2 linked regions of the Callithrix jacchus genome follow. The protein of the gene in region 1 purifies or fractionates together with the protein of each later gene. This does not show direct contact. Links are inferred from orthologs where the notes say so. Each region holds a gene or a part of one and is shown in the gene's direction. Other genes may lie near its edges. The genes, in order: HNRNPH2 and PLOD1.

Region 1 (3,773 bases):
ATTTTGTTTATGGATCCCTAGACAGGTTAGTCTGTTTCATTTAACCATTTGGCCTCCAAACAATAGAACTGATCAACTGCTCCCTCCTTAATACTGTGCTTACACCTCACCCAGAGGGTCATGGCAATTATAATGTCTATTTGCATTTATGTCTTTAATAATTACATACAATCCCCCTGTAGGACCATAAGCCCTTTGTGGGCTTATTGATTCTTGTATGCTAGAGCCGAGTATTGGACTTGGCAACTACAAGATGTTTCTAAAATGAATGTGTGAATTCCCAATAATGTCTTTTTTTCATTTATCTCTGAAGCCTAAATATATCCCTGATTTTATTGATTTGCCTACATTTTTATATAAGGATATTATATAAAGAACTTATATAACTTGTGTTTTGTGTTTTAATTATTGTTTAATCTTTTGATCTAGTGAAGTTTTTTATGTTTATATATTCAGATATAGCCATCTTTTATTTGTTGACATCTCCCATTTATTTGTTGCTGTTAATTTTTTTTTTTTTTTTTGAGATGGGATTTTGCCCTGGTTGCCTAGGCTGGAGCGCAGTGGTGTGATCTTGGCTCACTGCAACCTCTGCCTCCTGGGTACAAGCAATTTTCCTGCCTCAGCCTCCTGAGTAGCCGGGATTACAGGTGCCCACCACTATGCCCAGCTAATTGTATCTTTAGTAGAGATGAGGTTTCACCACATTGACTAGGCTGGTCTCAAACTACTGACCTCAGGTGATCCACCTGCCTCGGCCTCCCAAAGTGCTGGGATTACAGATGTGAGCCACGGTGCCTGGCCAATTGCTGTTAATTTTTAATGGTATCCAACACGTAATAGGCATTGAATAAATAACTGTTAAAAAATGAATGAGTTAAAAATTTGGTGAATTCTTTTTTGTTTATACAGATGTCTTACAGCAAAGCTGTCAGCATAATTGAGTTTTCTATTAATAGTTTGCTTTTCTCTTTTACTGTATTAGCATTTTTCCATGACAGTAGTCTTCTAATTTTTTTTTTCCAGCTACACCAAAATTGTGTTGAGCCAAACTTGCCACCAAGAGCCCAACAGTCACCATGATGCTGAGCACAGAAGGCAGGGAGGGGTTCGTGGTGAAGGTCAGGGGCCTACCCTGGTCCTGCTCAGCTGATGAAGTGATGCGCTTCTTCTCTGATTGCAAGATCCAAAATGGCACATCAGGTATTCGTTTCATCTACACCAGAGAAGGAAGACCAAGTGGCGAAGCATTTGTTGAACTTGAATCTGAAGAGGAAGTGAAATTGGCTTTGAAGAAGGACAGAGAAACCATGGGACACAGATACGTTGAAGTATTCAAGTCTAACAGTGTTGAAATGGATTGGGTGTTGAAGCATACAGGTCCGAATAGCCCTGATACTGCCAACGATGGCTTCGTCCGGCTTAGAGGACTCCCATTTGGCTGTAGCAAGGAAGAGATCGTTCAGTTCTTTTCAGGGTTGGAAATTGTGCCAAATGGGATGACACTGCCAGTGGACTTTCAGGGGCGAAGCACAGGGGAAGCCTTTGTGCAGTTTGCTTCGCAGGAGATAGCTGAGAAGGCCTTAAAGAAACACAAGGAAAGAATAGGGCACAGGTACATTGAGATCTTCAAGAGTAGCCGAGCTGAAGTTCGAACCCACTATGATCCCCCTCGAAAGCTCATGGCTATGCAGCGGCCAGGTCCCTATGATAGGCCAGGGGCTGGCAGAGGGTATAATAGCATTGGCAGAGGAGCTGGGTTTGAAAGGATGAGGCGTGGTGCCTATGGTGGAGGGTATGGAGGCTATGATGACTATGGTGGCTATAATGATGGATATGGCTTTGGGTCAGATAGATTTGGAAGAGACCTCAATTACTGTTTTTCAGGAATGTCTGATCATAGATATGGAGATGGTGGGTCCAGTTTCCAGAGCACCACAGGGCACTGTGTACACATGAGGGGGTTACCTTACAGAGCCACTGAGAATGATATTTATAATTTCTTCTCACCTCTTAATCCCATGAGAGTACATATTGAAATTGGACCCGATGGCAGAGTTACTGGTGAGGCAGATGTTGAATTTGCTACTCATGAAGATGCTGTGGCAGCTATGGCAAAAGACAAGGCTAATATGCAACACAGATATGTGGAGCTCTTCCTAAATTCTACTGCAGGAACAAGTGGAGGGGCTTATGATCACAGCTATGTAGAACTGTTTTTGAATTCTACAGCAGGGGCAAGTGGTGGCGCTTATGGTAGCCAAATGATGGGAGGGATGGGCTTATCCAACCAGTCTAGTTATGGCGGTCCTGCTAGCCAGCAGCTGAGTGGTGGTTATGGAGGTGGTTATGGTGGTCAGAGCAGTATGAGTGGATATGACCAAGTTCTCCAGGAAAACTCCAGTGACTATCAGTCAAACCTTGCTTAGGTAGAGAAGGAGCACTAAACAGCTACTCTAGATATAAAAGCTGTACATTTATGGGAGTTGAATAGAATGGGAGGGATGTCTAGTATATCCAGTATGATTGGCATATGGGAAATATTATTGATACTGATCACTCTTGGTCAGCTTCTCTTTCTTTATCTTTCTCCTTTTTTAAGAAAACAAAAGTTAAGTTTAACAGTTTTGCATTACAGGCTTGTGATTCATGCTTACTGTAAAGTGGGAGTTGAGATTATTTTGAAACTTCAAGTTCAGTAATTTTGAACACTGAAACATTCATCTAGGACATAATAACAAAGTTCAGTATTGACCATAACTGTTTAAACGATTTTTAGCTTTTCTCAAGTTAGTTATGTTGTAGGAGTGTACTTAAGCAGTAAGCTTATTTAGGTTAATGCAGTTTCACTTATGTTAAATGTTGCTCTTATACCACAAATACATTGAAAACTTTGGATGCATGTTGAGAAACATGCTTTTCTGTAAAACTCAAATATAGGAGCTGTGTCTACGATTCAAAGTGAAAACATTTGGCATGTTTGTTAATTCTAGCTTTTTGGTTTAATACTCTGTAAGGCACGTGAGTGTACACTTTTACTTTTTTTTTTTTTAAAGGATACGGGACAATTTTAAGATGTAATACCAATACTTTAGAAGTTTGGTCGTGTCGTTTGTATGAGATTCTGAGGCTTTGGTTTAAATCTTTCCTTGTATTGTGATTTCCATTTAGATGTATTGTACTAAGTGAAACTTGTTAAATAAATCTTCCTTTTAAAAACTGGAAAAAATCTTGCTCTGATTTTTATTATGTTCTGTCATATGGGCACACTGATTTTATAATTCCCTCTTAAAAATTTTAATTTAAAAATTATATTTACATCTTTATATGTTCATTGTTGCATATATCATTAGTTATTTCTAAGATACATCCCTAGAAATGGGATTGCTGAGTCAAGGATATACCCATTTTTAAGGCTTGTGATTTGTGTTACCAGAAAGATTCTGGTACTTTATCTTTCTACCTAGAGGACTGTGTGTTTTATTTTTCCCCCTCATACCCTCCTTATTGATGTACGTTAGTTTTTTTGATCTTTGCCAGTTTGTTAGTTGAGAAATGATATCTTTGCTATTTTAATTTGTATTTCTTTGATTAATATTAAAGTTGAACATTTTCTTTAAAAAAAACTTATTACCATGTCTACAGGACTGTTGAACTACTTTTGGAGACTGTTCTTACCAATATAGTATTCTCTAAAATCCAAAGAAGTGAAAGCAAATAAATAATCCTTTTTATTTCACCACAAACTAGAAGGCACCTTTGTATGTTAAAAA
Region 2 (4,608 bases), on another chromosome or scaffold:
TGCATTTCTACTAAACATCATATGGGTAGGGTATTTCCCTGGCTGCAGCATCTGAATGCTGTTTTGTTTGTATTTTCATTTTTTGGTTTGTTTTTTTTTTGAGACAGGGTCTGACTCTTGCCCAGGCTGGAGTGCAGTGGTGTGATCATGGCTCACTGCAACCTCCACCGCCCGGGCTCAAGGGATCCTCCCCAGCCATCCTCCTGAGTAGCTGGGACTACAGGCACATGCCATGATTTTTGTATTTTTGGTAGAGACAGGGTTTCACCATGTTGCCCAAGCTGGTCTTGAATTCCTGGGCTCAAGCGTTCTGTCTGTCTTGACCTCCCAAAGTGCTGGGCTTAAAGGCAGGAACCACTGCACCCAGTCCATCTGAATGATTTATTAATATCTTTTGATTGTTGATTTATTAATATCTTTTTCTAGCACAGATGCATAGCCTCCTCTATGTTGTCCATGGACATGTGTGACATTCCTTCTCTCCCACCCCTTTGTCCCTGCAGGGAAACCCCCTGCGAGCCTAGGGTCGCACCCACCACCCCCTGCTCTGGAGCCTAATCTGCTGGGAAAAGACTCCTGGGTCTCTGTCTGAGATTTCTTCCAAGGAAGGGAGGATTTTTGTTCAGAGGTGGCTGTCCCCATCTGACATCTGGACCAGGAACCCTTGCCTAGTCTAGAGACCATTGTTGGGCTTTGGGCATGTGTGAAGAGGCCCTAAAAACTTTCATTGATTCGTTTATTCATTTCACAATTATTCTCTGTAGGATGTAGTGGCTCAGCCTGTAATCCCAGCACTTTGGGAGGCAGGAAGATCCCTTGAGCCCAGGAGTTCGCGACTAGCCTGGGCAACATAGGGAGACCCTTATCTCCACAAAAATAGAAAAATTAGCCCGGGGTGGTGGCTCAGGCCTGTGATCCTACCTACTCCGGAGGCTGAGATGAGACGCTCGCTTGAGCCCAGGAGGTCGAGGCTGCAGAGAGCGGGGATCGCGCCACTGCACTCTAGCCTGGGCAACTGAACGCAATCTTGTCTCCAAAAACTGGAAAGAAAAAAAAAAGCCTCAGAAGCAAGACTTTCTTTGGCTCAAAGGTTTGCCTCCCAGGCACACTAAGGCAGATCAAGTGATTGCCTTTTGGGGATTGTGGGGTGGAGAATGGAGAGGTGCGTTCTGCATTTCCAGCGGTCCTGGTGGACCACGGAGGGGTGTCCATGTCTCTGAACGCATCCCTATCCACCCTCACCCCTTGGGTTTTGGGGAGGACTGCTGAAATCATTAAAGCTGACTTCCTTGGGGCTTGACCTGGGGCTGCTCTAAGTGCGCTACAGGCAACGCCATTAACCCGTGCAGGACCCAAAGAAAAGATGCTATCAAAAGCCCCACTTTTCGGGCTAGCAAACCGAGGCTTACGGCTATCGATGCCATGGAGCGTTGGCGCGGAATCTGGGGTCTAGAAATGGTGGCCTCGCCCTCCTCTCACAGCCTTTTTCCTGGTCGCAGTAAACCCCCGCAGAAAAGGGAGGGGGGAGGAGGCAGGGCCAGGCGGAAGCCCCGGGAGCTGCACCGACGAGCGGAGGGAGCCGCCCGCGCTCGGAGAGGCCGGGGCTCGGGCAAGTCTGCAGAAAAACCCTTCCCCCGGGGCAGGCGCGGGGGAGGGCGGGGAGGGGCGGAGAGGGGCGGTGCCGCCCCCGGGGCGGGCCCAGTGCGTGGCAGCGGGACCTGCGGCCCCGTCGCGAAGTTTCCAGCCCTGCCAGCGCCGCCGGGTCGGCCGATAGTCCCCAGAACCTGGCCATGTGGTCCCTGCTGTTCCTGGCCCCGCTGGGCTGGTTGCTCCTGGCCGAAGCGAAGGGCGACGCCAAGCCGGAGGGTGAGGGCGCGAAGGCCGGGGGCTGGAGCGCGGATCCCAGCGGGAGGGCCAGTCCTGGGGCTGTCTCTCTGGGTACGACCTGAATGGGAGGCCTGGGCTGGGGAGGGAGTCTGGGTTCCGGCTCCTTGTCCACTTACTTGCTGGTGGCTTGAACAAATCGCTTCCCCTCTTGGGGCTGCGGTTCCTGCTTCGGGAAGGAAAGGGTGACAGCTGAGTCCCATTCAGCACAGAAAAGCTCAAATAATAATAGTTCTCATAATAACAACGGCCAGTGGCTACTCTGCGGAGCGCTCATTGTGGGCCAGGCATCCGTTAGGCATGATTGCCACCCCGTGTTTCTTTCTGTTATCCCCGTTTTCCAGCTGGGCAAACTGAGGCTCCAGAGTTCATTCACTTGCCCAAGATCACACAACTTGTGGGCCTTGGAACCAGGATTTACGCCACCCACCCAGGCGTCTGCTTCCAGAGCCAGGAAACCTCATGACTGTGGGAGTGAGGGGTCTTAAAGGGGACAAGGGAAGGATAGGGTGGAAGGTGTAGCTCACTTTGTGGAGTCGTTTGCCCTTTCACCCGTGCCCCCTGTGGTGTGCTCAGCCCCTGCCAGGCTGGTCTTCCTCAATACAGTTTATTTTAAAAAAAATTTTAATTAATTAATTAATTAATTTATTTTTGACACGGAGCCTTGCTCTGTCGCCCAGGCTGGAGTGCAGTGCGCAGTCTCAGCTCATTGCAATCTCTGCCTCCCAGGTTCAAGTGATTCTTGTGCCTCTGCCTCCCGAGTAGCTGAGATTGCCGACATGCGCCATCATACCCGGCTAATTTTTGTGTTTTTAGTAGAGACAAGATTTCACCATGTTGGCCAGGCTGCTCTTGAACTCTTGACCTCAGGTGATCCGCCTGCTTCGGCCTTCCAAAGTGCTGGGATTACAGGCATGAGCCACTGCGCCTGGCCCTCCCTCCAGTTTATACTTGAGAAAACAGAGACCCAGACAGGTGAAGTGACTGTCCAGGGTGGTCCAGCCAGAGGTGGCTGGTCCGAGGTCAGCTGGACTCCAGTCTAGTGCTCCTTCAACTTCCTAAAGGCAGATTGGCTTGCAGTATGTGTCCCACTGTCCTGAGTGGGTGCCGCCCACCTCCTCAGCCCTCCCTGGCATTGGCCATCTCCAGGGCTGTCCCAAGAAGGGCACAGACTATGGACAGTCCCAGCAAAGCCAAGCGGAACTGGCAGTACCCTCCATGGCATCTTCCTCCTTCAGCCCACCCTCCTGAAGAACTTGGAACTGTACCACCAGAAGAATCCCAGGTTCTGGGACCCATTTTTTTTTTTCTGGTGGGGAGATGGAGTTTCATTCTTGTTGCCCAGGCTGGAGTGCAATGATGCAATCTTGGCTCACTGCAACCTTGCCTTCCTGGGTTCAGGCAATTCTCCCACCTCAGCCTCCTAAATAGCTGGGATTACAGGCATGCATCACCATGCCTGGCTAATTTTGTATTTTTTAGTAGAGACGGGGGTTTCTCCATGTTGGTCAGGCTGGTCTCAAACTCCCAACCTCAGGTGATCCACCCACCTTGGCCTCCCAAAGTACTGGGATTACAGGCATGAACCACCATGCCTGGCCTCTTTTTTTTTTTTTTTTTGTTTTTTGAGATGGAGTCTCATTCTGTTGCCCAGGTTGGAGTGCAGTGGCACGATCTCGGCTCATTGCAGCCTCCACCTGCCAGGTTCAAGGGATTCTCCTGTCTCAGCCTCCTGCATAGCTGGGATCACAGGTATGCGCCATCACGTCTGGCTAATTTTTATATTTTTAGTAGAGACAGGGTTTTGCCCTGTTGGCCAGGGTGGTCTTGAACTCCTGACCTCAAGCGAGGGATCTGCCCACCTTAGTCTCCCAAAGTGCTGGGATTACAGGCATGAGCCACCACACCCGGCCAGGATCCCTTTCATAAGTAAGGAATCATCAACCGAATTTTGGAGATGGGAAGATTGAGGCACTGGAAGGTTAAACATCTGGTCTCTCATTGCCAGAGCTGGTTGGAGGTGGGGGCATTGTCTGGAACTCAGACCTACTGTTCATTTCTGCACCTCTGAATGGGAGGGGGGTGCTGTTACCTGGAAATGCTGCCTGGGGAGCCTGCTCAGCTCCCCCAGACCCAGCTGAGGTGTGACCTTCAGCCAGCTGGATGGGAGGACAGAGTGAAATGCTCATCTTCCCTGCAGGCCTTGCCTGAGCAGCTCACTGACTAGTGTGTGTGTTTTGGGGGGGGCACCCCAGCAGCCCCCAGAGAGGCCAGCTCCTCCCTTTCCCTGGCAGGTGGATGGGAGGGCAGCTGTTGAGGCGGATTCAGCTGGGGGGGAACGGGATTTGCTGTAGAGTCTTGGGGAGTGAGGTGGGTGGGGTGCCGTCGGCAGCGGGTCTCTTCCCTCACCCAAAACCCATGGCCTTGGTGCATGGAGAGAAACAGGGACCATTTTCACTTTTAGGGGGCTCCCAATCAGAGGGGGGCACAGAGCACCTCACCTCAGTAGACACCCGTGTCTGAGGGAAGAGATATTGTGCATTCTGGTGTGGGGGAGGGAGCTTCCAGAACAAGGTGGGAGACACAAGAAGCCTTCAACAAAGCAACATCTTCCATCACAGGGAACTGGGGGAATAAAAGGCATCATCCAAACAGGCAGATGTCCCTAGAGCCAACGCCAGATGTCCCACAGCCCTTCGTCCTATTTGTAGAAACTTCTAGCAG

Evidence for each region.
Region 2: the proteins of HNRNPH2 (region 1) and PLOD1 purify together in Homo sapiens (affinity purification with mass spectrometry; 3 studies listed by BioGRID and IntAct, counting the BioPlex papers as one, with this or other methods). This does not show direct contact. The link is inferred for Callithrix jacchus from reciprocal best matches to the Homo sapiens genes HNRNPH2 and PLOD1.

The regions. Positions count from the first base shown.
Region 1 is NC_133524.1:97,712,516-97,716,288, forward strand, and holds the end of HNRNPH2 (heterogeneous nuclear ribonucleoprotein H2), read left to right. Parts: intron 1-1,026; 5' UTR 1,027-1,079; coding exon 1,080-2,429; 3' UTR 2,430-3,229; downstream 3,230-3,773. UniProt on the Homo sapiens protein: This protein is a component of the heterogeneous nuclear ribonucleoprotein (hnRNP) complexes which provide the substrate for the processing events that pre-mRNAs undergo before becoming functional, translatable mRNAs in the cytoplasm. Binds poly(RG).
Region 2 is NC_133508.1:49,817,828-49,822,435, forward strand, and holds the start of PLOD1 (procollagen-lysine,2-oxoglutarate 5-dioxygenase 1), read left to right. Parts: upstream 1-1,700; 5' UTR 1,701-1,790; coding exon 1,791-1,866; intron 1,867-4,608. UniProt on the Homo sapiens protein: Part of a complex composed of PLOD1, P3H3 and P3H4 that catalyzes hydroxylation of lysine residues in collagen alpha chains and is required for normal assembly and cross-linkling of collagen fibrils.